Linked DNA regions of Oryzias latipes. The protein of the gene in region 1 purifies or fractionates together with the protein of each later gene. This does not show direct contact. Links are inferred from orthologs where the notes say so. Each region holds a gene or a part of one and is shown on either strand. Other genes may lie near its edges.

Region 1 (16,541 bases):
AAGGCAGTTTTAATTAAGGCTTTACTTACTTACATTTAAGGGATGAACAGTAATATACAAAAAGTCCATTTTGCCACGGTCTCATTTCATAATTAGTTTGTGTTTTGTTAACAAAGCTTGTTCATGTCTCTAAATGTAAAATAGAAATGAAAGAGCATTACTTTTGATTTGTGATAGCGACCTAAGAGTTGGAATGGAGTACTGACTTGCATTAGTCACCACAAATCCATGATTGTAACTGCCTCCATCTATTGTCTTTGGATCTAAATGGTTGGAATTAATATTTAAAAAGAGATTCATGAAATTTGCTCTCTATAAACTTGAGTGGTGTTTTTCCATGTTACATTCAACAATGCAGGATAGATTGAGACTTGAAAATTGATCATAAAGTGCTTGCGTTGCCCCGCGGGTGGAAAACCATCACTTGACTCCAGTGACGTGTTGTTTTCACATGAAGAGCTGTAAAAGAGGTGGACAAAACTTAGATTACATTTCTTTATGTACATTTATTTGTATAAAAAAACTATTTGGCTTCTACCGTGGCTTTCAGAAATTGGGCAAAAAACTGAAAGCAGAGCGGTGACCTCTTGACGGGATAAGTAAAGAGTTTTGCTGTAATGCACTTTATGTATATTTTTAAATGTGAAGTTGGTCAAACTGTTACTTTGATGCCATTAAGCAAGGAGATAAAAACCATTAGAGGCGTGTACAGCCAGTAATTCATTCCATGCTCTAAAAAGGTTAAACTACAAGAAGTTTTTTTTTCTCTTTTTTTATTTAACTATTGATGGAAATTATACTGAGGTTTTTTATGAATCTCGTCATTTTCTTTAATAGTTGACCTCAAATTTGTGCAGAGGAATGGTCTTTGGACAGACATGTGGCTCCTGAATCCTGAGCTCTTCCAATTATCAATTTTAGGCACGTACTATTAACTCTTTTTTATATATAAAAAAGTGAAATAAGCCATAAAATAGGGAGTTCCTTTTCACTGTAAATAAAAATTAATTATTACTTATTTAATCTTACACAACAGTTATAAAAGTCGCCATATAGAAGTAATTCAGAAGTTTAATTCATTTTTGAGATGGTTTCATGCTTTTATGTTCACTTTGTCAGCATTATAAGTAACCACACAGACAATAGAAATGTAATGACATTTGATCTGAGAGTATAATGGATTTGCCCATGAGCAAATAATCAAGGGGGGGGGGGGGGGGGGTACTCAAGCAATCTTAACTCATAGCAAGTAGAGCAAAGACAGAGCCCATCCTCACCATGATGCTGGCACACTCCTTTCTTCTGCTTCTCCTTCCAGGTAAGCTGCAACAAGTTTTTCAAATCTATTGCTGTATTTTCTTTCTTAGAAGGTTTTATATGTAAGAGCAAATATTATACCTTTTTGGTAGAATTTTATTATTAGTTTTATGTTTTACTATGGTGTTCTATTACACAACAGGTTACGTCTAATTGTGAGCTTTCAGCAGGATAAAACCTCAAGATTCTTGAAACATGTATTATGATACTGTGTCATATTGGCTTTATATTTTTCAATTAGAGAGAAAATGTTGCTGCCTTGCAGGTTTGATTTCTAGCCTGAAAAAGAAACTTTAGAATTTGTAATGAAATAAATAAAGTACTTTATTACAATTAAAACAAGAATTGATACAATCTCATTCTCAGATGCTGCCTGGTTGTCTTCAGGCTCAGGCGACCTTCCTAATGAGGAAACGACCTTCAACCAGAGTTTTGCAGAAAAAACAGGTAAAGCTCATATTCAATGCCTTCTTTCACATTGAAAATACAAATAAAATCAAAACTTACTTTATGTTGTTTTTGCTGTAGAGCGTGTTTGCAGTTACAGCGAGGTATTAGGATTCCTGAACCTGACAAAAGACAATAATCTGTTTATCATGAGTCGACCCGTCAAAGACCACAAAAAAGTAACTAATGTGTTCCTGGAAATGGTGGTCTATGCAATTCTAGATGTGGTAAGTTTTAAAACTCCCGATTTTATTTTTCTTTTACTGCATTTTTAATAAGGAGAGATCTTAAAATTAACGTGAGTACCAGTAGTAATTTTTTTAAAACAATAGCACTTAAAACAATTAATGTATTGGACATTAAGAATCCTTTGGTAATAAAACTCTGGATCATGAAGGGGAAAAGGATACGCCAAAGTCATGATGCTGGAGGGTCAGTGGTACTGTTGATGCTTTCCAAAGGCAGAATGGGTGGAGACGGGTTTGTACAACAGCTTTCAAGATGCAGAAATACATAGTGTTGAAGAGAATACAGGGAGAGATTGGCCTGAAAAACTATAAAAACATGGAAAGTGAAGATGAAATTATGCCACAGCCTTGTTTCATTGCCATGTTCTGTTGATTTCCTTTTTTGCCCTTTCTTATAAAAATTGATTTTTTTTTTTTATTTACAGAGAGAGATTGATCAGACTTTTATTTCATATGTCTGGATTTACATGGTGAGTGTTTTCTGAAAAAATATTGAATTATCTTTAATTTCACATACAGACTTTAACCACATTTTCCTTGATCCAAAAATCATGATTTGTCAAGGAGTGGGATAATGATTACATTTCCTGGAATAAGGAAGATTTTTGTGGAATTTCATCGGTAGCTGTTCCAATTGAAGCTTTATGGAAACCAGACCTCACCATTGAAGAGATGTAAGTGCACAAGCGTTTGTCTTTGGAATTGAAACATTTAAAGACCCACTCTGATGAAAATAGCTTTTTAACATGTTCTTGTGGCATTTTTCTCCTAAAAAAAAGACATATAAAGAAAAATAAGCTTGAAATTGCATTTCTGAGTATTTCTTTAGTGAAATTGTTGTGAATCAAGAGCAGACAAAAATACAGTTTGAAAAAGTTTGTAGTTGAGTCACATAGGCTAAAGTTGAGGCCATAAGCTCAAAGCTCCACTCAATTCTGTTCCACTTGCAGGCAAATAGATCCACGTCTTTGTTTTCCTCGTTTAAACTGGCATCTGGCTCAAAACTCCAATACTGCTCCCCATATTTGTTGCACGGGTATCGTTAGGTTGAGTGAGTGAGGGGTTGTAAGCTAGCGGGAGAGTGTGTAAACAGATGGTTGAAGGGGTGTGGGGGCAAGCTTACTCTGCACCAACGGTCCCGCCCACAAATCAAAGGTGACTTTCCAAAGAAACTACTGTGGCTCTGCAGAAACTATGTCCTAAAAAAGATCTTTTTTTGTTTTGCCTAAAAATAGCATAATTATCATTAAAAGAACACTGGAAGGATTTTACAATAGATCAAACTATGATTGGAGTAGGACTTTAAGATTTGAATAAAGAAGGAGAAAAAAATAATTAATATTAGTATACCAATTATTGATATCATTGTTTAAGTGCTAAGCTTATTTTTTTCTTTCTTTATAGGACAGAGAAGGACAAAGCCCCCCCAAGTCCTTTACTTAAAATCCATAATGAGGGGAAAGTAGAGTTCCGAAACAACCAGGTGATCATCAGTACCTGCAAGATGCATGCTTACAAATTCCCCTTTGACCTTCAGAGCTGCAGTCTCACTTTCAAGTCAGTCTTGCACAATGGTGAGACCTGTTTGTTTGAACTGTTGTGACAAAACCCACTGAGCTCATTGAAAGCCAAACAAAATACATACACAAGTGTGGTAGAAACATCTCTTTTTTTCACTCAGATGAGGAGATGATGATTCAAGCGGATGAAAACAGTACACATGCAACGCTGTGGTCTCTTGAAATCATAAAGACACAGTTTGAATGGGTTTTTCTCAACATGTTTGTTTCTCATAAAGTCGCGGATTTCTATGGCTCAAACCAAACCACAATCATTTACACTGTAAGTAGCTTCATTGTAAGCCTAATAATATAGTAATTGTAAGTAAACAACAGCTTTTCTTTGTTAAACATAAAAATGTATCTTTTTTAAAGGTCAACATGAAGAGGAGGTCCATGCTCTATTGTTTCAATTTTTTGGTTCCCATCATATTCCTTATGATTCTGGATATGGCTTCCTTCCTGATCCCGGATGATGGAGGCGAGAAGCTCAGCTTCAAAGTCACCGTACTGCTCGCTGTGACAGTGATGCAACTTCTTCTAAATGAGATTCTGCCATCCTCAACGGACAAGATTCCACTTGTAGGTAAAGTGATTTAAAACCCTGCTCTTAGCCAACATGTGGTCCCTGTCCAAAGTCAAATCCCAATGTGCACAGGTCCAACAGATCCATTTTGCGGATGCATATAATGGAAACACAGCTTGTGATGGGATTTCTTTAGTGGTTTACTGAGTCTACTGGAATACCTCAACTGTACCTACAGTAATTTCCAGGTTACACAGTGCACCTGGTTACAAGCCACACCTACTCAATTCGCAAGTTGAGTTGCAATTTACAAACACAAGCTGCATTTGTATACAAGCCCCATGCTGTTACTAACACTATTGGCCCACCACTGATTTTCCTGACCCACAGACTGTGCGACTGGCTTCTGTCCCACTCAGGGATGAGTTGGCAGTGCATTAATTCATCAATTTGAACACATCCACATCTGCCAAACAGCATGCAGCTCACTTCTGCTCACAGGTCCCTCAGTTATGGTGAGGAAATTTACACCCGCGACTCCCCACTTCCCATGAGTCTTAGAGGCTTAAGGCGGGGCTAACCCCCAGGTCGCCACACTGTGTTATAGATCGAGGATGTATATGTGCTGAAACCGTGTTGTGCATGTTTAAGAAGGAGCAGCGAGCGGCAGCGGAAGGAGCAGAGAACGGGAGAGCAGCTCTCCTCTCCTTCCACGGCATCAATATGAAACAGGGCTGGTTATAAAAACATGCCAGTAAAAGAGAGCAGCAGTGACTTAAAGCGAACGCCTCAGTGCGGCACGCGCGCCTCAGCGCAGCACGTGCGCCAGAAGTTTCCTTGCACAACAGTGACACACTTGTTCCGCGGACGTCTCTGCGCTTCGCCCTTGCCCCGCGGCCTCCTTGTCTCACCCCTTGCGAGGGAGGAGCACTTCGTGCCCCCTGACGTCCGGTCACTGAGCGCGGAGCGCGGCTGCCAGTAGACTGAGCGAACCGTGTCTCTGAGCAGAGCAACCGGACTTAATAAGTTTTGTGTTTGAGGGGAGGGGAGGTTGCTTTGTTACGTGTGGCAGCCTTCAGACTGCCATCTCTCCTGCAGCTCTCTGTGATACAAGCAGCAGGAGAACATGTCTCCATCTCACACAGCGGCTTTGGGGCGGTGTGAGCTTTTCAAAGCAAAATGCCGCTCAGTCCTTAGAAACCTTCCAACAATCACGTGGATTTGTGTTTCTAGTCGTGTCCTGACAAAATATAGGCTGATGTTATTCCCACATATTTACGTAGAGCCAAGCTGCAGATTGCAGCATTTCCCGCATCGATTTATGTTCATCCAGGCTAGATGTTGTTGTTAGCGCATGTTAGCCTTCACCTAACCGTTCTTCCTGCTTCTTTCTGCCCCAAAAAAGCACTGACCACAAAATGATGAGCAAACAGGCTTCATAATAACCATAACAATAATAAAAACACGTTTAAAAGATCATCTCATATATATTACGGAGCTGCTACTGTAAATAGATGGGCCAGTGTCGCTCTGACTCGGAGGTTAATTCACTCCTGAGCTTGCGCTGTCCTCTCCGTCAGGCAGGAGACCGGCTTTTCCAAACCCGTTGGTGATGGTGGATTTTTTCACACTGCTTTTAACGATTGCTTTTAACTTGAAAGCTGCATCATATTGTGGTGGCAGTCACGTTCACGTTGGGTCTAATGGCACCATAGGATTGTGGGATGCGGCTGAGCATGGGTGTTTCTTTTTGTTGCACCATGACTGAAGTGTCATAACCTGAAGTCAGGTCCATGCTGTTTGGCTGCTTGTAAGTATGTCTTAAAAGAAATAGGCTTGCTGCTGGTAGTTGGATCATGCATTCAGTCTTCCCTCCGAGACTGCATGAGTGCTCCCGGCGGCTGTCAAACAAATCCATTAATTAGCCGCATCATTGAAAAAGCAGCAGGGTTGAAAGCGTATGAAAGGAGTGGTGGCTAATAGTCCGCAAATTACGGTAATCATTGGTCAAGGAAATGCAACTTCTAAAACAAGTACAAAATGTTTAATTAAGTCCTTTTTATTTATTTTCAGACTAAATCAACTTTTTATATAACTTGACGTAAGGCAGGATACATCATTATATAGGATACATCATGGAAATTAATCTCAAGCAAAATGTGTAATTAGAACTGTGTGAAAAGAAAAGAAATACTCTGCTTTTTGACACCCTGCAGTCCTCTTTTGCATTGGAATCTTTGGTCTGATGCTACTCAGCCTCTTGGAGACCATTTTTGTCATATATCTGAGGAATAAAGATTTAACAGCCCAGGACAGTGAAGTTAATGGAGACAAAAACTCAGACGAGGAGCAAAACAGTGAGAAACCCAAAGCCTACTTAATCAACGGCCTTAAAGGTCAGATTTTCTTCACAATTTACAAATATTTGACATTAAAGCATTTTCCACATGATACACAACAATTTCTATACAACTTCTTTTCTGCATTTCCCCTATATTTTTACAGCAGTGAAGAAATGCTGTCAGCCTGTCTGTGATAAGTCTTCTGAGGAAAACCCATGTTCAGCCAAAGAGGTAAAAGCTTCTAAGTTATGAAAAAGCCTTTATAAATATGGTTCATTTTGTCTATTTAAGTCAAAAATGAATTGCCTCAATAGTGTGTATTTACTAAACACAAAACCCATTTAGGTTTTGACACTGATAATCTTTCAAATTTAAACAATACGTTTTCAAATGGCCTAAGTTTAAAAAACGGACACGAACAGCACAAGAAAAAAACCAATAACTGTAAATTAACAGGGATTAGATGTTGTGTTACTTGATGGTTTGTAATATTTCACCTTGAAGCTATAGTTTTATGCTGGCCATTAGGTCATCTATGGCGTCATAGAACCTTGACTTTTTTCAGAAATGGCCAAAAGGATGCAACAAACAACTCTGACTGTTATTGGTGTTACCCCGTAGGGCCACTGTAGAAATGAGCACATCCCGCTACCAATCACAAGAATGAATCTCATGACAGCCATTTTTTCTGTGCAAGCCCACCGATGTCATTGCAGAGTCTCCACTCTGTCACTGTGTTAGTAATGGGGAGTTAATTAAACTTCCTAATTTTATAAATTGCAATGTTTAATTATTAGGTTCTTGTTTCTGGGTATAACCCTCACTTGCTGAAAAGACTAACAGGTTCTCACTTTGATAAGATTTCAACTAAATAAATATCTTCTGCAGGAAAACGCCAGTCAGCTGATGGAGATGTCCTTTGCAGTGGAGAAAGTCTCAGATGAGCTTGAGGACATGAAGAAAACCATAACTCTGCTAGGTAGCAAGAATGATTTGAAAGTAGGATACTGGACCAGATTATCAGTGAAGATTTCCAAAGGGTTTGGAACTTGTTATATTGTAGTAGCCTCTATATTTTTACTCGTCATCTTTTGTGAGTGGATGTCATAGGAATCAGCGCATGTTCCAAACAGAGCAGTTTGGTCTGGATGAGACTTCTTTTCCTTGTTCCTTGATTGGTGTGAAATTTTTTCTGATCTGATGGGTGGACCATGGAAGTATATTTTGAAAAACAATTAACTCATTTTTCTTGCAAGTGAACCTTAAAGCAGTCCAAAATCAGTGTAATTTGAAAATGTGAAAATCAAGAAAACTTTGACAACATCTGGGGTTATTGTTTAGGAGCACTATTTTCACCAAACCACAACTATATGATTTTCCCGAGACTCAAACTCTGCACTGAAAAGACTGCAAAAGGCAAAAAATGACAAGAAAATATGTAATACTTTTTACCACTCATCTCCCTTTTTATTTTGTTTTACTGGATATAAATATGACCTAAAAGTATCCAAAACCTATCACTTTTTTGATGATAAACTTATGAGAAGCAACATATATATTGGTCATGCTCTGCCGCCAGTGCCTAAACTGTCATAATATCATAATGAACTGAACAGACATGATTTGTTTTCCTAAACATCTACCATATTTTCCACATCATAGGGGCCACCAGATTGTATGGCGCACCGCGCATGCTTGTCTTGGTGCATTCTTTCTGACTTTGGTGAGTTTGAGTATGATTGGACAGAGTGACAAACGTACAGGTACAAGAGTTGACAAAAATACTATTTACCCGTACAATGAATTTGGTGGAAGTGAACCACTCAAAACATTTGCTACATTGACACTAACTTTTTTTAAACACGCTTCACATTAGCCACGTTAGAATCTTTAGCAGCATATTCATAATACCCGTTATTCCCAACCTTGTTTGTAACAGACTGATACCAATTAAACAAACATTACTGTGACTACGCTAACTCCCAACCTCATAACCTTGCTCAATCATTCAAACAGTAATTAGCATTGTAAATTACCATCTATTTTCCACTAATTTGTCATTTTTAAAGCATGTTTAGCAATATGTAACACATAGGTGTCAACATATTGTGAAATTTTTGTTAAAATACGTGTAATGACATTTTTGTAAGTGGAAAATGCTAGAAGAGGAGCACAATAAAGAGAGTCATTAGGGTTTTTGAGGTTCAAGTTTTCATGAATACATTTAGCTTGGGCATGTTGGTTGTGGCATGTGTTTTCCCTGTATTTGTATGGCTTTTCTCTTGTTCAGTGTTGTCAGCACAAATACTTGAACCAAATTTTTAGTTAGGGACTGTGCAAGCCAAAAATAAAGCAAGACGCTAAAGAAAAGTCATTTTACTTTGGGGGACTGTAGAGGAAAATAACTGTAACAGAACAATAAATGGCTACAAAAATAAAAAAAACTGTGTTATCATTGAGGAATTGTAGATTCCATAGAGTTTTTATTCTTTGTAATTGGTTTTCAAGAAGCTTTTGTAAGAAAATTGTCTGGATTATAAAATTAGTGGATTTAAAAAAGAATAACACATTTGTATATCAAAGGGAATTTTTGAAACCATTATATGTTTTGATTTCATTTGTAGTAGTAAATAGACATTGTTGCAAATGTACAATGTTACTGTGAATTTGGTGTGTGATACACCAGCATGTGTTGGATTACAACAACCTGCAACATCAGAATAACAACGTAAGGAAAGAAAGACAGACCAAAGGTACCTTTTACGAGGAGAAACGAACAGCGATAATCCTCAGCAACAATCGCTCTCCACTCTGGCGCATATTCTGTCACCTCCTCTTTTATTAAGTTTGTTGGGTATTCCCTAATTTACATATGCGCTGAGTTCTAAGGAGGGGAAACAGATAAAACACAGCTGCAGCGCTATCAGAAAACATTAATTGCAACATGTCTGTCTTTTCACAGTCTTCCCACGTCATCCGCAAACGGACCTGCAAAGTCTTTCCTCGGGGGCTCAAAAAATGATCAATCACAAAAATTAAATAGTTGGAATAGGAATAGGCAAAATTAAATGCACTATTTAGTGTCTTTCTTTAAAAAAATAGATGTGCATCAATTTTCATTAATTTTTTATGTATTTATTTATTATCCAAAAAATAAAACAAAAACTATAATTTTCACGTTGTGAGCACTATGGAAATGGAAAAACAGGAGCTTGTTATTTGGCCAAATAGTAATAGCAGTCATTCCTCCGCGCCTCGGAGGGGCGCTGTTCTCTGCGGTGTCCCTGCATTGTTGCTCAATCAGTGACGTGGACTTTCATTGAGAGGCAGTTTGTGCGGACACTAACAGCGTTTCTGAGATTCTTCTGTCAAGGTTTCCTCAGATATATCAGTCAGGCCTTCAGTGCTAACCTTTCGACAGACCTACGTAAAGAGCGGCTTTGTTAAACGTTCCGTATCAGGTGAGAGCCTCGTCGTCATGTGTGGATTTCGGTGTTTTGTGGAGTCTGACATAGTTTTCTAAAGTTTCCTCACGCTTTTGTTTGTTTATTGCGGTTATATTGCTCTGTTTTTTTTTTCCTGACAGGCTTCAGGATGAGCAAATCTAGCAAAGCGTTGAATCTGAAGGATAAACTGAGTGGAAATGAAATGGACTTGAGCCTGTGTAACCTCTCTGAGGTTCCGGTCAAAGAGCTTGTGAGTCAATTATGTTTATTAATAGTTAATTTAAAAAACACACACACAAGTAACACGTTTAATTAAAGTCAGGACTGGTTTGGTGTCTTTCTATAGTTCCTGCTATAAAACAATTGCAATAATAATAATAATATTCATTTAATTGTATGTATTTTTTAAGGCCCAGCTTCCTAAAGCAACAGTGATGGATTTGTCCTGCAATAACATCATCTGCCTTTCTGTAAGTATGAGTACAAAATCAGCAACATATGTCATTTATTGTGCTTTTATATATACATTTAACAGCATTATCTCTTGTTTTTGTTAAAGGATCAATATTGAACTTTTATTTAATCGGACTCCCTTTTTTGTATCAATTATATCGTGTGTCGCATGAATAAAGTAAATGTTTTGATCTCTAAACAGTTTTTAAAACTCTTTCTTTATGTTGCCATGAACTATTAGGTTCCCTTCTTTGGATAGGCACAGAAGTCGCCGTTTATTTTAATAAACTTTTTCTCTACCATTATTCCTGTTCCTCTGTCATCCATCTACTTGTAGTGTTAAATACCCACCCTGAGTAAAATTGTGTTCTTGGTATTTTTTAGCATGTTCTTGTGACATTTTCCTGATGATAAGGACGAGTATAAATAGAATTCAGCACAAATTGCCTAAGTATTTCTTTATTCAAATTGCTGTGAATCAGGAGCAGATGAAAAGAATCAGCGTGAATTTGTGATGTAGAATATAAGCTGGGTGGTCTTTAATTATAGGGAATGCATTGAAAATAGATCAAAATATGATTAGTGGGACTTTTAGCGGTGTTTGATAAATCAGAATTTTTACATTTTGGTTTGCTGTGTTTCTGTCCTGCAGCCAGAATTCTGCTCGTTGACCCACCTGGTGAAACTAGATCTAAGCAAAAACCAGCTAACCTGTCTGCCAGATGAGTTTGGGAACCTGGTCAACCTTCAGCACCTGGACCTGTTCAACAACAAGCTGATGACCCTGCCCGTCAGTTTTTCTCAGCTCAGGGTGGGTGGTGTGCAGCGTCTGCACTTTTGTCACCATTTGTGTCAGTCAGAAAGAGGCTGTTGTAACCAAGTCGGACTGAGCGTATTTTGGTTGGTTGGTTTGTTTAGAGTCTAAAGTGGTTGGATCTAAAGGATAACCCTCTGGAGCCCACTTTGGCAAAGGCAGCAGGAGACTGTCTGGATGAGAAGCAGTGCAAACTGTGTGCCTCCAAGGTGAGATAGAGGAACATCAGTCCAATGGTCTGCTCTGGAAGAAAAACCTCCAAACCTATTCATCGTGTTTTTTAAGGTTCTGCAGCACATGAGAGAAATTCAGGAGGAGGTGGACCACGCCAGAGAGAAGCGCCTTTTAAGAGAAAAAGGTGAGTTTCTAGAAATGTATCGTCTAAAGAAGGTTGTTTTGGGGTTTACCAAAAAAATGGAAAGTTTTGCCATTTACTGCATGTCTTGTAAAAATCTTATTTTTCTTTTTATTTAGAGCTGGAAAAGAAAAAAGAGGCAAAGCAGAGGGAACGGGAAGCCAGAGAGAGGGAGGCTCGCAAGCGGGAAAAAGCCGAGGAGAAAGAAAGGAGACGGCAGGAGTACCAGGCTCAGATGGCGGCTGTGGCGGCAAAGGAGCAACAGAAGAAGAAGAATGAGGAGAAAAAGAAAAGAAATGGACAGGCAGCAGGTGGGATTTAGGTTTTCAGTTTCTTGAATTGCTTTTCATTTATTTAAATTCTTTCTTTTTTAAATGGATGTCTTATTTTGTTTCAGCAGACAAAAAGGCGGCTGTGGAACCTGCGTCTAAACCACGGCGATCTCTTATCGGACTGATGTTCAAGCTTCTCCTCCTTCTGATGCTGGGTTTGGCCGGGGCTGTTGCCGCCTGCCGGCTGACCGACTTGCAGAAGGAACCGGCCTGCGTGCCAATCAATGTTGCCGTGGACGACGGCTTGGCCTGGGCCAAAGTGCAGGGAGGTGTCGTTCGACAGCTGGCGCAGAATCTGTCTTCTGCTGCAAAGGAGCTCCTAGAGTCCACATCCAAAAGCTAAATGCTCTCATGCCGGCTCGCTGTCAGAGGGGCAGGATTTTCATCCTATCCTGTGAACGACTGAAATTTTCCTCCGGAACATCAGGAAATCACCTGGAGAGCGTCTGTCGTTGGTACTGGCAAATTGTCTGCACAAATAGACGTTTGTTGAGGGGGAGATGTGTTGAAACCGTCCTAAATTCCTATGGAATTGTCATTCTTGTACCCTCTTTGTACTACAGTCTTTTTTTTCCTTATTTAATCATCTTTTATGTCTCCCGCTAAAGCTGCAGGAAACATAGCAGAGCCGTTCAGTGAAACCTCAAACAGCCCTGTTTGTGCTGCGCTAGACTCTTAAAGCCTGTTCACTGTCCGATGAGCATCTACAGAGGCTAGATGTGGCAGTCTGAGCATGTGCAGTGGAGCACCTATATATTCTCAGGAGTCAAACTTTAAGTCTCAACTAATGTAAAACGAGAGGCTCACCATTGTTCCAAAGATTGTCACAAGACTGATGACATAAGCCCAAACTTCCTAACACTGTTCCTCTCTCATGATCTTTTGAGTCAAATCTTAAAAAATACAACATTTTGTTAGATTAATGTTTTAACTGGTTAAATAATTCGTGAAAATTCAAGTGATTCAGGTTTAAACCCAAAGATTTGAGTTTAACAAAAATGAAAAAACTCAATTTGAAAAAGCTAAAATGAGCTTTTAGTTTGTGGATTAGTGAAAAACTAATCATATTTTCTTCATTATTCTGATAGGATATGTTTAAGAAATAAAGTAATGTTATAAAAACATGGTTTAAAAGCTGGTCAGATAACATGTACCTTAGTCTGCTTGTAAAGATCAAATTGCATTTTCCTGCTTTTGATTGTCACCAAGTTTTATTTATTTCTTAACTATCTTGAGGAGTGAGACTTAAATATGAAAATCTGCGTTTAAACTGCTTCACCAATAAAGAAGCTTCATGTCTGAAGTGAGTGACTGGGGTCTGCTTGATTTCCATAATAATGAATATAATAAATCAGGGGCAGTTTGGCTAAAACCTAAACCGTACTTTAAAGGTCAAGTTAATTTAAAAAAATTTGAACAACTAAAGCAAATCTTTTCTGTCAAGTTTTAAAAGACCTTACACCTTTTTTGCTTTTTGCAGAGCATTAAGTTTTAAACACTTAGTATTAAAAAGTGTGCAGCAGAACATTAATGTTGGATGTGTTAAGTAAGGGTTAATGGCCGACAAAGTGTGCGTGTTCAGAAATTAACGCACGCCATCTGCTTCGCGTTGACGGTTGCTTCCGCGTTAATTCCTGATAATGCACACTTTGAAGGCCATTAACCTTATGCCATGGTCACTTACAAAAGAAATACTAAGTTGTTTGTACTTTATTGTTATATTTTCGGTTTGATGGCTTTTTTTTTTTCTTTCACAAAAAACTATTTGTTACGTGATGCAATTTGTGGTAGCGGCTGAGTCGGCACGGACCTCGACTGCAGCGGGAAAGGAAAGCGATAATATATGCTGATTGTCACTGTGGGATATCCCTTGTGCTATCTTAGATGACCTCACCCTTACATTGACGTGTTCTCCCTACCATGACAAAGGTGGATAAAGGTGGAAAGATTTCATGTAATCCATGAAGATCACAAATCATTGAAGAAAAAAGGTTCAGAGCACTGTCTAGTGGGTCTAGATGACCCAACTCCCAACGTTAAGGGTTAAGGTAATGGTAAATACCTTAACCCTTAACGTTGGTAAAGGTAATAAATGGCGTATACTTATATAGCGCTTTCTACCCTCTTTCCGAGGCCCAAAGCGCTTTACAGTCACAGTCCCATTCACCCATGCACACACACATTTACACACACATTCACACACTGGCGGCGGCTCCGCTGCCGAACACTGGCGCCAACCTCCCACCAGAGGCAAGGTGGGGTTCAGTGTCTTGTCCAAGGACACTTCGACACATGGGCGTGCAAGGCGGGACCTGAACCTGCAACCTTACGATTGGGTCGATCGCTGCACCACGGCCGCCCGTAAAGGGTTAAATAAAGCATCAGTTCAGAGACAAAGTTCACCTCTTACTGCTTGTTTTGTCCAGGTGATGAAGCTAAAGTTTGTTTCAAAATAGCCAGCGCAGTGATACAAAACATTCAATGTATGAGACCAGGGGCCTGTTTCAGAAAGGTTATGTGTAAACTCTGAGTGCGTTAACCCTGAAATCAGGGAAACCCTGGGTTTTCCATTTCAGAATGGGAGGTTTGTTAAACCAGAGAAAGCAGAGTAAGTCAAACCCGTTTCTGAAAGAGAGGTAACTTATACTCGGAGTCAGTGTCCATGGTTACTTACGCTGTGAACCTAACCTGGTCGGGAGAAGGTTTTATTCCCTAAACTCAAGGTTTCTGCCGGTCCCCTCCCCTTTTTAAAGACTAAGCGGTATTTTTCGCTTTAACCTTCATTGCCCAAATTTGCGTCACACAGAGACGGTCTAAGTGACAAGAATGGCTTGTCCTTTTTCGGAGGACCCAATAGACGAGGAGGCTGCATTAATTCATAGAGAATTACATTTACGCCGTGCGAGGATTTTGAGACCTAGACTCGATATTTTGTCATTTCCCCATACGTTTTTGTTTGAGCTTTACCGTTTTTTGTTGCAGTCAATTACATATAAACAATGAAAACATTAGATATGTATTGCTATGTAGATGTTTCATATGTCAAATATTGTCAACAAAGCCTCCATCCATGACATGCTCAGATTTGACCTGATTGAATTATGTTTTTATACTTCATTTTTAGCTGCTGCCATGTTCTTTTAATTCCTGCAGGATTGCATCTACATGAAAATAAAATCAGGGACATTGAATTAGATTAATGTAACAATTAATTTTTGGAAACACAATTTGCTAGTACTGCTTACTTTCTTAATCCCATATAGACCTATATCACTTGATCAATACAAGGGTAGACAAAAGTTCACTTTTAAAAACACAATTGAATGTATTAATATTAAACTGACCAACGTTTGCAAGAGGGGAAGGTTAACAAGAAAGTCCTCTAAACATTACCGACGTTAAATGCATTTTCCCCCAGATTGGTTCTGTACACTATGCAGCATTTCATGCAATTACACCAGGAATAACACTTCAAAAGTACACCTAAATATCGCCATTTTTTATTTCACACCTTACGCAATTTAAAAAGTTATTACAGCCAATATTTTATAACAATGATTTAAATGCAAACTTAGGCATTAACTTGAGCAGCTATGTTTTCCACGCTAACTGTCTCTGTTTTGCAGATTCAGCGGTGTTGCTTTTCTTCCGGAATATGTGCTCATATTCACTGTAACTCTGCAGCAGCACGTCAAGTTCAGCTGGCGAAAAATATGCAGACCTCTTTTTTTCCACAGTTGCTATGGTGACTCGTGATATCTGCGCTCCATTGATAATGGCTTCTTATAGTCGCGGTGCGCACGCTTAACTCCGAATCAGTCCACTCAGAATTGATTGATCTAACTCGGATCAGCTTCTCTGAAACAGAAAACTCAGAGTTGTTAATCTCTCGATTGACCAACTCAGAGTTCAAGTTTAACCTCAGAGTTGGTTGAACCTCCTTTCTGAAACAGGCCCCAGAACTTCCTTTTTGGGTGTGCATTATCCCTGTGTGATGTCACATCCAGCAGCCAATCAGAATGGAGAATTCACCCGGACCATGGTATAGATCTCTAGAAACAGAACTAAATGCAATTTCTCACTCACGTCTTATTTCTGGGTTTTAATAAAAGTCATACACAACCAGTAGAGGACACTCCAGCAGGTCTCTGCATTTATGTTTTGCACTGAAACAAAGTTATTAAGGAGATATGAATATTTGATACAATTCAACAATTGATCTTAAAGTAAAAGAATTAGACATTGCCAGGTTTTATTCCCTTCACGTTTCTATTGGCTACAAACATTGGAATTTAAATGTCACTTGTAATGATGCCAAGTAGAAAATAGTCATTGTGGCATTTAGATTTATTACATGACATTACTAAAACTTTCCCTCACGAAAATACTTCACTCATGTTTGATTACCTTAGAATAATTTTCAAACTGGTTTGATATGTATTTTGTGTGAAAAGCTTCTTTCTGTAGGTAGTATCTGAAATTCATAATTTGCGTCCATTTAATTTTTTTGTGAACTAAGAATTTTTCTATCTGAACAGTTTGCTATAATAGATGAGGAAAAGTGTTGAGCTATGGTCACTTGGGGTATGTGAATAGGATAAAATGCGATAAATGCCCATTCTTTTAACCCGCTGTTTGCCCCTGGGCCTGGACTGTTGCTACCTGAAACTAGCGCAAGTCCGCCACCTACAGGTGGAAGAGG
Region 2 (14,970 bases), on another chromosome or scaffold:
ATTCTGATGCAGCCACCAGACAAGCTGAGTCATAAAAAATAAAAATAAGTTTTGGTCATCTCATTGATCACAGCGGTGACGCTTGAATTTCTTCAGAAGTTGCAGGCATGATGGGATGTTTCCACAACTGCTTCCTGTCTTCAAGACTAGTATTGAGGAAGTTCTCAGATAATTCTTTACAAAAACTATTACTAAAAAGGCACAGTCACTAAAAAAATAGAACTAAGGGAATGAAGAAACTCCTCAAGATGGATTCTAGCCCTGTTGTTGTTTCCTTTCTAGCGAACCCTTGGAAGAAAGAAGGACCATCGGGGATCATTTAAAGATGGTGCGTTCATGCATGTCTCACTTTTCTGCCTTAATCAATTTCTTTACAGTTCTACAGATTGCTGGAAAATAACTATTGCTAAATTTTAGTAGAAATGTTGGTCTCCATGCAGACTATTCATGAGCGCCACAATTTTTGTCCAACATCTTGGTGTGAAAAAAGTGGAGGGCTGCTCTGAACACTACCAGCATTAGAAATGACCTCTGGGCCAGCAGATGAGAAAACATACAAAATCTTCAAATAATGTTCACTTTCCTGTAATGATTATTGATCAATATTACCTGTTCAGAATAACCTCTTCTAAACAGGTAATATTTGGATTTGAACAGTTTCTTTAACCTTATCCAGACAAGAACTCGATAACTTCTAAACTGCTTTTTTGTTTGTTTTTTAGGAAAAATAAAGTATCCCATTTTACTATCTTATTTTTAGTCTAGAATAATTGTGCTCTAAATAATTATATAGTTTCCTTTAAATGTATTAAGATCCTTATTTTGTTGTGTAAACAATACAATTTAGTATAACTGTAAAATAATTTAGAATTACTTTTATACCAGTCGTTCTATGATATAGGTAAGTTGAACCCAAGATTAAACACTTTTATGCATGTATAGATGTAAAGCTTAAGTAATTTGGTAGTCTTGGTCCTCAGCCACACCGTGCCTCTACCAAGAGATGCGTGAGCGCGGCCTGCACTCCACCAACCAGGACGAGCTGCTGGACGACTTTGTGGTGGTGGAGACTCCAGTGGAGGACCAGGGCATTGTGGTGAAGAATTACAAGCCAGCACAGCTGACCTGGAGCCAGCTGCCACAGGTTAACCCTCTCACCTTATAAGTTTCAATGCTCTATGTTGAAATTGTCATATTTTTTTTGTACATCTGAAAATCTTTTCATTTGAGAACTTTTAAAGATTACTCTACTGAGTAAAAGTCTCCCCTCGTTTTTGTTTAGGGGTGACATTTGCAAAGGTTTTAATTCCAAAACATTTAAGTTTTTTTAACTCATTCTTTAAGTTACATATTTTTCTGCTTTGATATCTTGCAAAGGTGAAGAACTCAGACATTCTTTCAAGGATAACACCTCAAGAGAGAAAAAGACAAGAGGTAATGGCAGCGTTTTTCTATTTCATGGTTTTTTGATGATGAGCTCCTCAACCATAGAGAACTCCTGGAAGCCAGTTACTTTATCAGAAAGAATACATTAATAAAACACATTTTTTGTGTTATGTAGCTTTCTCACTTATTCTGGATGTCACACTGTGTCTGCATGACTTACCCCCCCTGCAACAGTTGCTAGACCCCAAATAATGAGTGCAGTTCACTTTTTTGTTGTTGTTTATTTTTATTTTTTGATAGAGTAAAAAAAAATGCCGTTTATCTACGCTGATGACATTTATTTCTTGATCTGCTTTTGTTTTTTATGAATTTATAAACAAAAGCTTATTTTTTCAATTTACATGCATACCAGAAAATAATGAAGTGTGTAAAACAAATCTCTCTCATCTCAAACTGAAGGTTCAGGCAGGTTTAGTGTCACAATAAAGCCACCTTTACGTTCCCTTCCAAAACTCTTTTCAAATGCTAATGAAAATCACACACCAATAGCAAATGACTTTATGTATTTATGTCAATTTTTTGCTCAGTGGCCGCCTTAGATATGAATGAGTCGAAACTAAAAGTTGGACCTGTGTGTGCTCTGGAGTTGTTGAATAAAGCCACACCTTGCCTGTGTAACCACTCTCTGTGGGAGTCCCCTGATCACTTCTTTGTCCTGCTCTTTTGTACCTTCAGCCAGTTTCCTGTGTGACACCAAAAACACAGACTAAAATCCACCACACACATACCACTTCTAGAAGAATTTGCAAAACCTTTTTTATGTACTGAATATGTTTCATTTGACGTCTTTTTGTTTTCTTTTTGTCCTCTCTGGACCACTTTGTCTAGATTTAAGAAGGTTGTGAAGTTTATTATATCTCTGTTTGTTTATTTATTTTCTGAGCCAAGGACCAATGTGCACATAACTGTTGCACGTTTGTGTCTACATAAAATTCACGAGTAATTTCTTGTTTCAATGTATTCTGGTTATCACGAAAAAAGGGGGGAAAAAAACTTTAAAGTGGGTTCAGGATAAAGTTTTAAAGGAAAGGCTTACACACATACATGTTCTGTTTTTTGTGTTTAATGTGCGGTGATCTGTCATTTCCTATCTGTGATTATTTGGCAGGCTATTTTTGAGATCATCTGCTCAGAGCACTCATACCTACACAGCCTGGGCATCCTGGTGCGTCACTTCAAGAACAGTAAAACACTGAGTAAAACGATGGCGCCCACAGAGCACCACCACCTCTTCTCCAACATCTCTGTAATTCTCAAAGTCAGCCAAAGGTTTGAAGCAACACCCTTTACCACTTTGATAAGAATCTAACATGTTTTGTTATAATGGGCTTTGTTTAACCCTTGTGCTATCCTACGACCCCACCCTTACATTGATGTGTTCTCCCTACCATGACAAAGGTGGATAAAGGTGGAAAGATTTCATGTAATCCATGGACACCAGTGAAGATCAAAAATCACTGAAGAAAAAAGGTTCAGCGCACTGTCTTTTGGGGTTTACATGACCCAACTCCCAATGTTAAAGTGCCTAGGATAGCCCAAGGGTTACGGGAAACGTATATCAACCACTATTTAAAGTTTGTATGAAATTGTAATATTTTCACAATGCCAGATCTGAAATGATTTTGAGTTGTTTTAATGGTGCGTGAAGGTGTAAATATACCCGGTTTTCTTTGGCTGAAGGGTTGAAAACGCTCCTTTCCTGTCGGTTTCAGTATTTGCCCTCAGTGTGCCTTTAGTTTTGTGTATGTTCCATTAACTTGTTAGGACTTGTGAGCCAAACCGGTTTTGCTGCCTGAATGCACCGAGTTGTGTACTTTGCCCTAAAATGAAAATGTTTGGAAGTGAAATTGTTTTGTTTTCTTTTAGTTTCATTTATAAATGAAGTATTGGTTCTGTTCTATGAGCAAGAAAAGTACTGTGTTTAGTCTTAAGACAGTGAAATGGGATGTGTGAAGCCAACGAACAGTTCAGCTTGTCTATGGAACATCTGACCGCCTTACGTTATCTGCATGTGAATGTGTGTCATAAAGCTGCCTCTGGGTGTGGTTTAGCTTTTGGTGTCATTTTACTTCTTTTGGTTCAAAGTTCAGAACTGCAAAAGAATGTATTGCTATCCAAAAGAAGCACTTTGGCAGAAAAGATCTTAAAATTGTTTTTTGTTTTCAACATATAAAATGGAGAAAGAAAAAATGTGTCATCGAGAACTTTTATTTAGTTTCTGATATTCAAAAATATGACTTATAGGTCATCTAACTTGAGAAAATGTAGGAAAAAAAAATCACTTTGACTGTGGTCCAGATACAATAACACTAGAGAACAAGCAGAAGTATCCAGAGATTCTCTTCTTTCCAGCTGAATTACTTCTACTTTGCCAGTGTCTCAAGCCGTGCAGTTAACTGGATGAACTGAGACAAACTTCTGTGGTAAAAGTAGTTGAAGAAAAGTCACCTCTGTCTTGGTTTCCAGTTAAATTGTGTTTTTGACAATATTTTAATAGTAGTTTAGAACAATAAATTATTTCAGCCAATTTTTACAGGAATGACTTGTGAGCTGACACTTTAGTAGGTTATAGGCTCCAACATCCCTGTGACCCAGACTCTCTGCTCAAACAGACCCCTTGGAATAAGTCCCCCCTCGCACATTGTTCATCTTTTGGTTTATCCCTTCAGGGGCCGCCACAGCAATCAGCGTTCACTGATTCGCACAGGTGGTTTGGCAGAGATTTTTTTTTTAAATTATTAAAGTCTTCCAAAAGGCTAAGAAAATGTTATTACCAAGAACTCTTATTTTAAGAAAAAAAATCTAGTCAACAAGACATGTCTTCTCAAACTAAGATAATTTTGCTGTGGAAAAACTTACTTTATAAGATTATTTATCTTGCAATACAGAAAATATGACTTTTTTTTCTTGAAACAAGTGTATTTTTACTTTCTGTAAATGTAGTTTTGGCAGCACTGGGAATAAAGCGAGTTTGGATGGATGGATGGATGGATGGATGGATGGATGGATGGGGGACTAACTGCCTGCTCAACTAAACATTAGAGCACATTTAGATAACATTTTGTAAAAAATATTGAGTATTTGTATTAGTCGCCCAAGGCAATAAGCAGCAGAGAAACTTTCAAATCAATTTTGACTTGGTTGGGTAGTTAAAGGGTGAAAAGGCCCCTCTGTTTATATGTCTCTGACTGCTTCCATTATTCTGGATGCTCAGGTTTTTCGAAGACCTGGAGCGTCGTCACCAGGAGGACGTGGTGATCCGCGACATCAGCGATATCATTCAGAACCACGCAGCGCACCACTTCGAACCTTACATCGCGTATTGCTCCAACGAGACGTTCCAACAGAGGACTCATCAGAAGCTGCTGTGAGAGTCAGAACAAGCTGCAAGTTTGTTTTTGTTTTTGATGTGATGTGATGACCAAGCATCTTTTTTTTGATTTCAAGGAACACTAATTCTGCATTCAAAGAGGCTCTGAAGCAGCTGGAAAGCAGCAGTGAATGTGGAGGCCTTCCCATGTTCTCCTTCCTCATCCTACCCATGCAGCGAGTCACCAGGCTGCCACTGCTGCTCGATGTAAGCTTCTTCTTTACATTTCCAACAGTTTAAAATAACTTCACTAACAGAAAAAAGGATACGAAATAAAAAGCTCAGTACGCTTTTATTTCCCTGATATTGACAAATTCCTAAAAGTTACATAAAACTAATCATGAGATTAGATTAATTTTATTCTTTAAAAAAACTCCTTATGTTATTTAGTTATTTTAGATTATCTGATTCTGTGTCCCTTTTAGCAAACACCTGCAGGTTTGCAACCTTTTTTGGCATCATACTGACCAATATTGCTTTTATGGAGTAAAAGGTCTAGACTTCACATGCGGTTCACACCAACACCTACCCTCTTTTCTTTACCCACAAGGCTTTGCAATGTCTACAGAATTAGGTTTTGTACAGACTTGTCAAAAACGGTACCCCTGTCTAAGCTGTTACTTCTCTAATTCACTATGTGTTTATTTTAGAAACGTTTTTAATGTGTTGACAGTTTAACAAAGAATAGAAACAAAGCTGAGAGAAAATCTGTCATTGAAGTGATTTTTGGCATCCATTTACAGTTTCTCAAAATATGGTTTTAAAAAAGCTTAGATTGTGTTTATTATATTTTCAACTTTGTGATTTTCAGAGACTTGACTTGGTCTTCACCAAACTTGAGTCTAAATTAAACTTTTACAGGGGTTGCACTAATTTTGCAGATGTCTTGTATGTAATTTTGCTGTTAACCTCCTCAAATTTGGTTTCATAAAATACTTCTCATTTTCGGCAGTTGCGAAAAATTCTTGATTAACATTTTTTAAAATATATTTTTTCCAATCATGCTTCAACTAGATTCTAGTAAAAAGGCAGACAAACTTACTTTTTTCTGTCCTCAGACCATCTGTCAGAAAACTCCAGAAAACACAGCAGAGTACTTTGCAGCCGTGTGGGCCCTGCATGCCATGAGCAAGGTATTAACGCTGCGACGAAATAGAACAAATGAAAACCATCTGTGTTTTGTAACGGCTCTGGAGATAGTTATCTGGGTGTTTTCGTCCCAAAAGTTAGTGACTAGCTGCAATGATGGAGCTAGAAGAATGGAGAGAACGGAGCAGATGTACACCATCCAGAAGCAGATGGATTTTGGGAAAATCAAAGTAAGAATTAAACAGAGTGAAAAGAACAAGGACAAAAGCCTTGATTTAAAAAAAAAAAAAACCACCGGCGTCTTGTCATTTTAGCCATTCCCTCTGGTGTCCTCATCACGATGGCTGAAGAAGCGTGGTGAGCTGAACATCTCTGCAGAAGAGCTCAGCATATGGAAAGCTTTCACAAACAGAAGCTACTACCTATTCCTCTTCAATGATGTGCTCATTGTCACCAAGAAGAAGACGTGAGTTGGAATTCACCAGGCTTTTATTTACCCTCTAAATAATGAAATCATTTTGTAGACTGAGAAAAAAGAAACATTCGAACCATCTTTAGACTTCGCCTGATATCAGAATTTTGACTCATACGATCTCATATAGAGTTAGTTTTGCCTCAAAATCCACAATTGAGATATTTCTTCAGTTGAAACCACCTTTTTATCCATGTGGTGCACCTCTAGGAGTGTGAGGATTTGTTTAGCACAGTTTATTCACAATGTTTTATTTTAGTGTGACTGATATTTATTGGTGAAATGTCCATATGCTGGCAGGGAAAAGTATGAAAGGAAAGGGGACAGAATGAGAAGTGAGTCTGGATGTTGTGCGAGCATACTTCAGATTCTTCAATCTTGCATTCAGCCTGTCAGCTGGACTCACTGCAGATGTCTGTTTTGAATTAGGGAGAAACTAAACAATGTTGGCTCAGAGGAAGGAGTTGCCCATGACAGTGGAGTCATTTTAATGTTTGTAAAGTCAGCACTGCAACCTTTCCTCAGGGATTATCCAGGAAAAGCAAACGTAAAACTCAAGAGAATGTGTTTGTGTACATTTTAAGGCATTTTTCACTATCCTCCCTGTTTGTTGCATTTAGAGGACAGAATAATCTGAACACTGTTTTTGTGTCCAGTGAGGAAATCTTTGTGGTTCTGGATTATGCTACTCTGGAAAATGTGGAAGTGGAGTATGTGATGGAAACAGATGGACAAATGAGTTCACCTACAAAAAGCACGCCGTTGACCTTCAAACTGCTGATGACTAAGAACAGTGACGGGAGATCGGAACAAATCTCTTTAGTAGCTGATTCCAGGTACTGCAGCTCTTTCCTTTCAGTGTACTTCAAGAAATTAAGTGTAAAAAATGGAATCTGGAAGTCCATTTTTAGAGAAAATGTATGTTTTACTGGGCATTAGATCTTTGATAATTTAACTATTTCTTCTTTATTATCTGGTCCATTCACATAATAGATACCTTTACAATATTTGGGCGCCCTCTGCTGACCAAATCTTGTTATTGTTCTTCTCCTTTCTACTCTTGCCTCTGTCAACTCTTTCAGAGTGGATCGGGCACGCTGGATTATCGCCCTCACGGAGCACAAACAGGCGAATGCCACATGCACAGAAGGTGGGTGTGATGATTAAAGCAATGAAATGAACATCGATTTAAAACAGCAAAAAATTGTGTTTTTCATTTTTAATGTTGTGCCTTTGAGATAATGGATTTTCAATTTAATGTTTGCAGGAGTTGCACTACTTTTACTACTTGAATTAAACCTCCAAAAATGATGCAATGAACCCTTTAACCCTTGTGCTATCTTTGACCCCACCCTTACATTGACGTGTTCTCCCTACCATGATAAAGGTGAAAAGATTTCATGTAATCCATGGACACCAGTGAAGATCACAAATCATTGAAGAAAAAAGGTTCAGCGCACTGTCTAGTGGGTCTAGATGACCCCACTCCCAACGTTAGTGCCTAGGATAGCACAAGGGTTACGGTTTTTATGCTTTTCTTTTTTGTGACCTTTTGTTTAGAAAAATTTTATCGGATACAGATGAAAACTTTAGGTATTCATTGTCATGGAAAACCCCTATTGCAGGTTTTGATGTGTTACTGTAGAAGTGTTTTTATTTTTTTAGATGGACATTTTTTTTACTATATCCTACATAAATTAAATTTGTATGTTGCTTTGCTTAAGGTCTTCCACAGTATGAGGCCACTAAATCCTACATCCCAAAGGAACCAGATGAGATTGGCCTCCGACAGGCTGAGCTTGTCCTTGTTATGAAAAAAGAGGAAGGTATGGGGTATTTCCATTCAGATTTGTTATAAGGCATCCTGTATATGTTTTTAATAGTCATATTAAAGCATTCATTCATGTCTGCTCTTCCAGCATGGTGCTATGCAGAGAGAATGCGAGATGGGGAAAGGGGCTGGTTTCCTGCCAGTTGTGCCACAGAGATCACCAACCCCACTGCTATGGAGAGTAACGTGCAACAAATGAAACGTCTGCGCAAAGAGACCAACGTTTGACTCTTCATGGCTGTACTTTGGTGCTGCAATTTGCCAGGATGAATTTTTTTTTTTTATTGCTCGTGTGGCCTTAGCCCTGTGACCTGTTCCTCCACTACAATCCCAGTGGATACACCAGATAACTTACCAGAGATAACAGGGTCACCTTCCACAGCATAGCACACGCAAATCACCATAATGGCTTTACTCAACTCTGAGGCCTTGGATAAAATGTAACCATTAGGTTTCCGCAAACCAACATTTGACTTTTTTGTCACTGCAAATAACAGACATTTTAAAAAGGTGCAAATCTTACTTTACTTCTGCACCAGTTACATTTTTCCATATCCATGATTTGTGAACCAAATTTCCTTAAGCTGAGGCTCTAATCCTAACAAGGAAGTTGAATTAACGTTGCAGTGTCAAATATGTTGGAATGTTTTTTTTAATGCTCATGTGATCTAATTACTTTCAACCAGCCTTTATTAACACTTAAATGTTTACCTTGGTCTATTAAACCAAATGCCCCAGTCTGATGTATTTCTTACTAAGAATGAAAACTGGACAACCTGTATACTTGAAAATAAAAACCACCATGACAAAAAAGGTTTACCTGGTTTTTGAGTTTTATTTTAGCTTGCATTTCGTTAAAATGTTTGAATACATAAAAAGTTATTTAAAAATGTCAAACGGACCAGATATCAAATTCCATTTTATTTTTAAAAACCATTTGGTGTAAAAACTTAGGACAGATTTAGAAAAACATTGTCGTTTCCCCAAAACATTTTGTAGCTGTCACATAAAAATAATGGAGAACAAAAAAAAAACAAACCCAAGTCTGCATAGATTCTGCAGGCAATCGTTGGTAATCTGGTCAAAATGGTGCAAGCTTGTGACGATCTTAAAGTCAAATCGTTATTGCTCAGATCTTATTTGATGTTTCTTCGTGTCAAAAAAACTGAAAAGAGAAGAAAAGAAAATTAAGTTCACTGTCCATAAACGATCTGCACATTCAACATTAAACTTGATATGATATGGCACATATTAAAAGTGTTATCACTATACTGAAGGAAAGTGCAATTAAAACTGCTTCTCAGCAAATAGAAACAGTCTCTGTTAATCTACAGCATATGTTCACATTTTAAAAGATTTAATGCATATGCTTTTCAACCGTTGATACATAATTATTTGAAGAAGTTTTCTGTTTTAGAGGACCTAGTGTCATTTTCCTCATGTTTCTGCAACTGCAAAAAATCAGGACAGCAATTTTTTACTTAAAGCAGACTTGCAGAATATATTGAGCAGTCCTGGGGGTGCACTCACCCGGACGATGGTAAAAGATGGTAGTTGCCGGTGGGCATGTTGCTTCCTACTCAGCCCCACCCTGCTGGGCCTCGGGAGCGGACGTTTTTTCTGCAGATGGTTCACCTCCTGCCTTGGCATCCTTGCTTTCCTGGCCTGGTTTACCACCAGTCTGTTGGCGTCTGCGACGGTAGTTGAAGTTGCGGCGGTAGCGCCGCTGACGGGGCTGTTGATTCTGACCACCTTCACCTCCCTGATTCTCCTTGTCCTCCTCACCATCCCGCACCGGTCTGGGACGGGGTGGACCCCTAAAAAGGAGGAGAGGAAAACCAAAATTTGAGCAAGGACATTGATATCTAGGAGGAACAAAAATACTTTACTGGGACCGGGAATGATTCTGAATTTACAGAGAAAGAAAATATATAAACAAATCCCAGCGAGTTGATACAGGTCTGGATTGAAAAGAACTGACTGAAAACTGACTTTGGTTTTTCCAACTTAAATGTTGGTTTGATACTGAAAGCTTTTCTCCATCATTCAAGGACAAAGCCAATGTGCAAACCTGGGTGTGAACCTTGGTCTGAAGCCTCTGTAGTAGTTCTGCCTCACTGGTTTGTTGCCCTGGTCTGGACCTCCCTGGTTTTCATCGCCTTCAACTCCCTAAAACAGAGCAAATCAAGCAAAAAAGCTTTCTCAAACAAACAGATTATTCAGTATAGCACAGAAATATTGAAGCAACACGAACACTTTTTTAAGAAGAGACGGCCAATTTAAGTCCATCGGACAATAGCGTGACCCCCGATACACCAAACTTTGACCACAACCACGTGAGCTTTACCAAGGAGCATGTTGGGAGAAGAGCAAGTGTCTCGACTGTCATGGTACAACTGGTTGCCTACTTCTGGATAGCAGCCTGGTGACCGCGTACCACAGTCATTTCTCCGCGTGGTGCATTGGTGTACGGGGGTCCACGACCATAATGTCTACGTACAAAGTATGGTGGGTAGCGTCGTCTGCTGGGGTAAGTGGGTCTGCGCTGCTGTGGCTGCGATTCTCCCTCAGGGGCGCTTTCTCCCCCGTCTCTGTTTCCTTTGTCACGCACTCCGTTGCCAGGCTCGCCTTCTCCATCACTTGGGTAGTTCTCTGGGTATTCTCCTCCACGAGGGGGCCCCCTTCTGCGTGGGTAACGCCTGTAGCGGTTCCTGTCAGCAGCGTATTTGCTTCCCTGGACAGCCACCCCTCCAGGGCCAGTGACATTTGCTGCCTCTGCACCCTGTTAACAGATAAGTTTAAAATTGACAACATGCCTGCAAACATAACCAAATTCTTCCCAAAACATTACCTTCTCTCCCTCAACTACATCAAACTCCACAGTCTCTCCGTCCCCAACACTGCGAAGATACTTCCTTGGGTTGTTCTTCTTTATGGCTGTCTGAAATCATCAACAATTGAAAAGTGAATTAGTCGAAATAAAAAAAAAATGTTTTAAGTTTCCAAAAGGTTTGGAAAATAATAGGTCACCTGGTGTACAAAAACATCCTCTTTTGTGTCATTCCTGAACAAAAAGAGAAAAAAATAAAAAGATTCAGTTATACCACACATGACTTACTAAGACAACACACCTCTGAAGACAGATTGCAACTAAGCCAACAAGTGCAAGGATTAATGAAGTCTTGCAGGTTACAGTGTGCATGCAGACCACTAGAAAAAATAATCAGGTCAGCCACGTTAGCAAAGCAATAATCATAATAGGATTGGGAACGCTGGAGGTGGTCATTTACCTATTGATGAAACCATATCCATTCCTGACGTTGAACCACTTGACTGTACCCAAGACTTTTGTTGCTGCAATGAAAAACAGAGCAACTCAGTTATCAAGTGTCAATATTACTTCTCTAAGCTGCAAAGGTAATTTTAGAATAGCAGTAATGAAATTTTGAAAATATGATAATAGATTGGGAACAGTCAAAGCATCGCACATAATAAGATATGTGCAGGAAAAAACTAGCCATAGTGTGGACGTTAAAAATAACTTCCAACTGTCGTGCTTATTATAGATGCTGATGCTTAGGAGAGCCTGGCGCCAGCTGCTCCCGGTGTGAAGCTCCGGCCATGGTAGAAAACAGTCCAATTACATTGACTGCAAATGTGTGGAAGGAATGCGGATAACACGGGGAACAGAGCTTACGACACGTCAAACTTCAAAACAAGTAACCTCGCGTTTAGCAACTGCATTTAGAGAACTCGGACATTAAAGACCTACTGCCCCATTTTAAGACGCCCAGTTCACGACGTGAGCGTTCACACGTGGTAGGGTCGCACACGGACAGACCGAAAAACAAGCCGAGTTGGCTTCTTAGCTTAGCCGTGTAGCTAAGAGTTACAACCATGTGGTTGGAGTATAGCCAAAAAGCGGAAACCAACGTAATAAACCCATCAACATCTTACAGATGTTACTTCGAAACTACTTAAGCAAGCGCTTTTAGTACCTAAACCGAGCTAGAATAGAACTGTAACGTATAAACGGATCGTGTAACGGCGGACATTTTGGGTGGCCTTTTCAGCCATGTAAATAGCCAGCCAGCTAGCTGGCTAGGCTAACATTAGCATCGTTAGCAACTGGAAAGCTATCGTGAAATAATTAGGCCTCACCGAAAATGTAAAAAAAAAATCGAGTTAAAGCTTAGGACGGTTTGAATACAAATCCCAAAGCGTTTATTATTGAATATATCTAATAGTTACAAAATAAACTTGAAAACAACCACCTTTAAGCTTTGACAGAGAATACAGGGATTCGACACTTGTGCGAACAAAGGGATAGTAAGCAGCTAGCGTCAGTTGCCGGTGAACTTGTTAGTGTGAACTAACGCAGGGTATTTCCAAGTTTAAAACATTTATTCGTCATTTTTTCGGGTTTTGTTCGTACTTTTGGCGGTTAACGGTGAGAGATAAAGGTCTGCAACGTCTGGTAGTAAACATGCTGGATCTGACATAAATTACTCCTACGATCATCCATGTGACGGCCGTTTGGATGCATGCGTCTCTTTTTCGCAAATGTTTTCCCACCAAGACAGAAAATCATGGATTAAGTGGTTATTTACTACATTTCTAAGATGTGGATTTTTCCTAAACTTGTGACATCTCATAGTTAATGAGAATGATACGCTATTAATGAATAACCGTTCCCAACTGACAGTTTTTAAAATGTATAATTATATTGACAGTTGGTATCACAATTCGACGTACGGTTTAACGTCCAACTACTTAATAAAGTTGATCGTAACGGTCATTTTACATTAACATAATTCAACGGCTGTTTCTGTCTCGTTTACAGCAACATAAACCACGTTTAGCATCTAGTTAGCTAAGTGGAGTCGGCAGTCTTACCGATGACCTTCTTATCCCCCGCGGAAGCTGCAGCTGCCGGGCTGGATGGGCTTTCCGCATCATCGGCAGCAGGCTGCGGTGGTTGTTGTTGTGTCTCGGCCTCGCTGCTCATAGTTACTGGTTGGTAATGGCTTCTGCCGGCGGCGGCTCTCTGCTATTTTTCCCGGTGCTAGATGGTAACGTGGGCCGGCGGTGGTGGGGGCTACTGCCTTCGGGCTCTCAGCTTTCCTCTTTCCGCTCCCGTTGCCGATCGAACTGGGCAGAATCAGTAGTTGTGTTGGGGAATGTTCTTGGTTGTGGCCCCGCCCATTCGAGCTTTTCACTGGCTGGAATTATTGACTGAATGCGTCACAGAAAAAAGGCGTCCTCTGATTGGCTAGACTACTGTCAGTCTAGTTGAAGCGACGCGTTTTCACGAACGGTTGGTTAAAGGTACCGTACCTGTCAGTTTTCACCGCCCCATTGTAATCATGTGTCAGATGCATAAAACTAAAAAAAAAGACGCATAAAGCTAGTGTTGATCCACGTAAACCCCTTTTAAAACCGTAGTTAAACAACATTTTTATGGCATTATTAGGAAATATTAGCCTACTTTTAAATATTGCTGGAGGCTAACAATTTATGTAAAATTTCAAAAAGTTTGACTCCCACAAAAGAATCAGAATATATTGTAAATTTAAAAAAACATCCACAATATTGCTTTTTTATTTTTACTTTTAAAATGAATGGTTGTTACCTGTAAATAGTGATGATTAAACATCAAAAACCAAACTTGATAACCAAAATACAAAAGATCCAATCTGCAAATTTTTAGATTTGACTTTTTGCAAAGAGAATTAGATTTTGTGAGGTGAACATTTGTGAGGACCAACCATTCAACCTGCATTCTTTGAACCCTTATAACATTAAATGCACATGAACTGTTTAAGGGAAATGCTTATTGCATATTAATTGTATTTTCTACACATAGAACAAAAGAAGAGCTTAATAAATCTTTAACAAAATGACAGTGAATTTCACATGTGAAAACCATGCACCATTCTTTCCTAGTTAGCTTGGCATAGTTGGGATGTCTTGTCTTGTAGTCCCTCTTGATATTGAATTTCTTGAAAACATCCAGCCTCTTGCATGTTTAGTATCTTACTGAAAAAAATACACAAATTTCTACTTGTCCTGAAAGCAGCGACCCCCAATTGTCAACATTTGTTAAATTTACAGTCGACATTTTAGAAATGAGCTAAAAGGTATTGCAAAAGGGTCACATCATAGTGTTGCCATAGGTTTAAAATGGTTTATAAAGTAGGCAATCATAATCAAGAAATCATACACAGTTTCCTGGGAGCACATTTATTTTTATAAAAGGTACCAGCAGGCTAGAAGAGGCTTTCAGGAGGGCTGCATTTGGCCAGACTTTGTAGAGATCTAGAAAGAAACCTTTGACAGGTTTCTGAACCCACCTTGGACCGGCCAGACTTTGGACATGCCTGCCTTAAATGGTGAGAACAAGAATAACTCCATATTTAAAGTGAACTTTCAAGACAATCCTGCCCTTTTTTGAGAAATATTAAATAGAAATATAGAAAATATTCCAGCACTGACTGGAATATTTGAAACAATCTCCGTGTTTCTTGAAAAAAAGAGATTTTTTTCAGATCGGACGTTTTGTATGTAGGGTGTGTATTCCTTTCACATATTTTTTTAGTTGTTATAACCTGGTATTGTACTGCTTCACTGCATGTGACCCATCACCTGGGGGAGCAATGAGCTGCACACACGGCCACCATTGATTGCTGAACCCCCCAATCCAACCTCTTAATGCTGAGTGTCAAATGTTGTGTCCCTTTTTTGGAGACTTTGTTATGATTT

What was found.
Region 2: the proteins of lrrc59 (region 1) and ybx1 purify together in Homo sapiens (co-immunoprecipitation; 3 studies listed by BioGRID and IntAct, with this or other methods). This does not show direct contact. The link is inferred for Oryzias latipes from reciprocal best matches to the Homo sapiens genes LRRC59 and YBX1.

The regions. Positions count from the first base shown.
Region 1 is NC_019877.2:13,732,387-13,748,927, forward strand, and holds lrrc59 (leucine-rich repeat-containing protein 59), read left to right. Parts: upstream 1-9,724; 5' UTR 9,725-9,900; intron 9,901-10,025; 5' UTR 10,026-10,033; coding exon 10,034-10,135; intron 10,136-10,295; coding exon 10,296-10,355; intron 10,356-10,990; coding exon 10,991-11,149; intron 11,150-11,256; coding exon 11,257-11,361; intron 11,362-11,437; coding exon 11,438-11,510; intron 11,511-11,626; coding exon 11,627-11,818; intron 11,819-11,904; coding exon 11,905-12,182; 3' UTR 12,183-13,147; downstream 13,148-16,541. Other genes in the region: 5-hydroxytryptamine receptor 3A, read left to right, coding at 1,279-1,318, 1,684-1,764, 1,846-1,991, 2,438-2,482, 2,577-2,686, 3,417-3,586, 3,694-3,854, 3,947-4,157 and 3 more.
Region 2 is NC_019865.2:7,798,085-7,813,054, reverse strand, and holds ybx1 (nuclease-sensitive element-binding protein 1), read right to left. Parts: upstream 13,353-14,970; 5' UTR 13,217-13,352; coding exon 13,105-13,216; intron 11,563-13,104; coding exon 11,499-11,562; intron 11,273-11,498; coding exon 11,239-11,272; intron 11,150-11,238; coding exon 11,060-11,149; intron 10,991-11,059; coding exon 10,709-10,990; intron 10,378-10,708; coding exon 10,280-10,377; intron 10,026-10,279; coding exon 9,785-10,025; 3' UTR 9,739-9,784; intron 9,374-9,738; 3' UTR 9,024-9,373; downstream 1-9,023. Other genes in the region: rho guanine nucleotide exchange factor 16, read left to right, coding at 283-328, 981-1,144, 1,378-1,434, 2,555-2,715, 4,661-4,813, 4,894-5,023, 5,875-5,949, 6,043-6,135 and 5 more. UniProt on the Homo sapiens protein: DNA- and RNA-binding protein involved in various processes, such as translational repression, RNA stabilization, mRNA splicing, DNA repair and transcription regulation.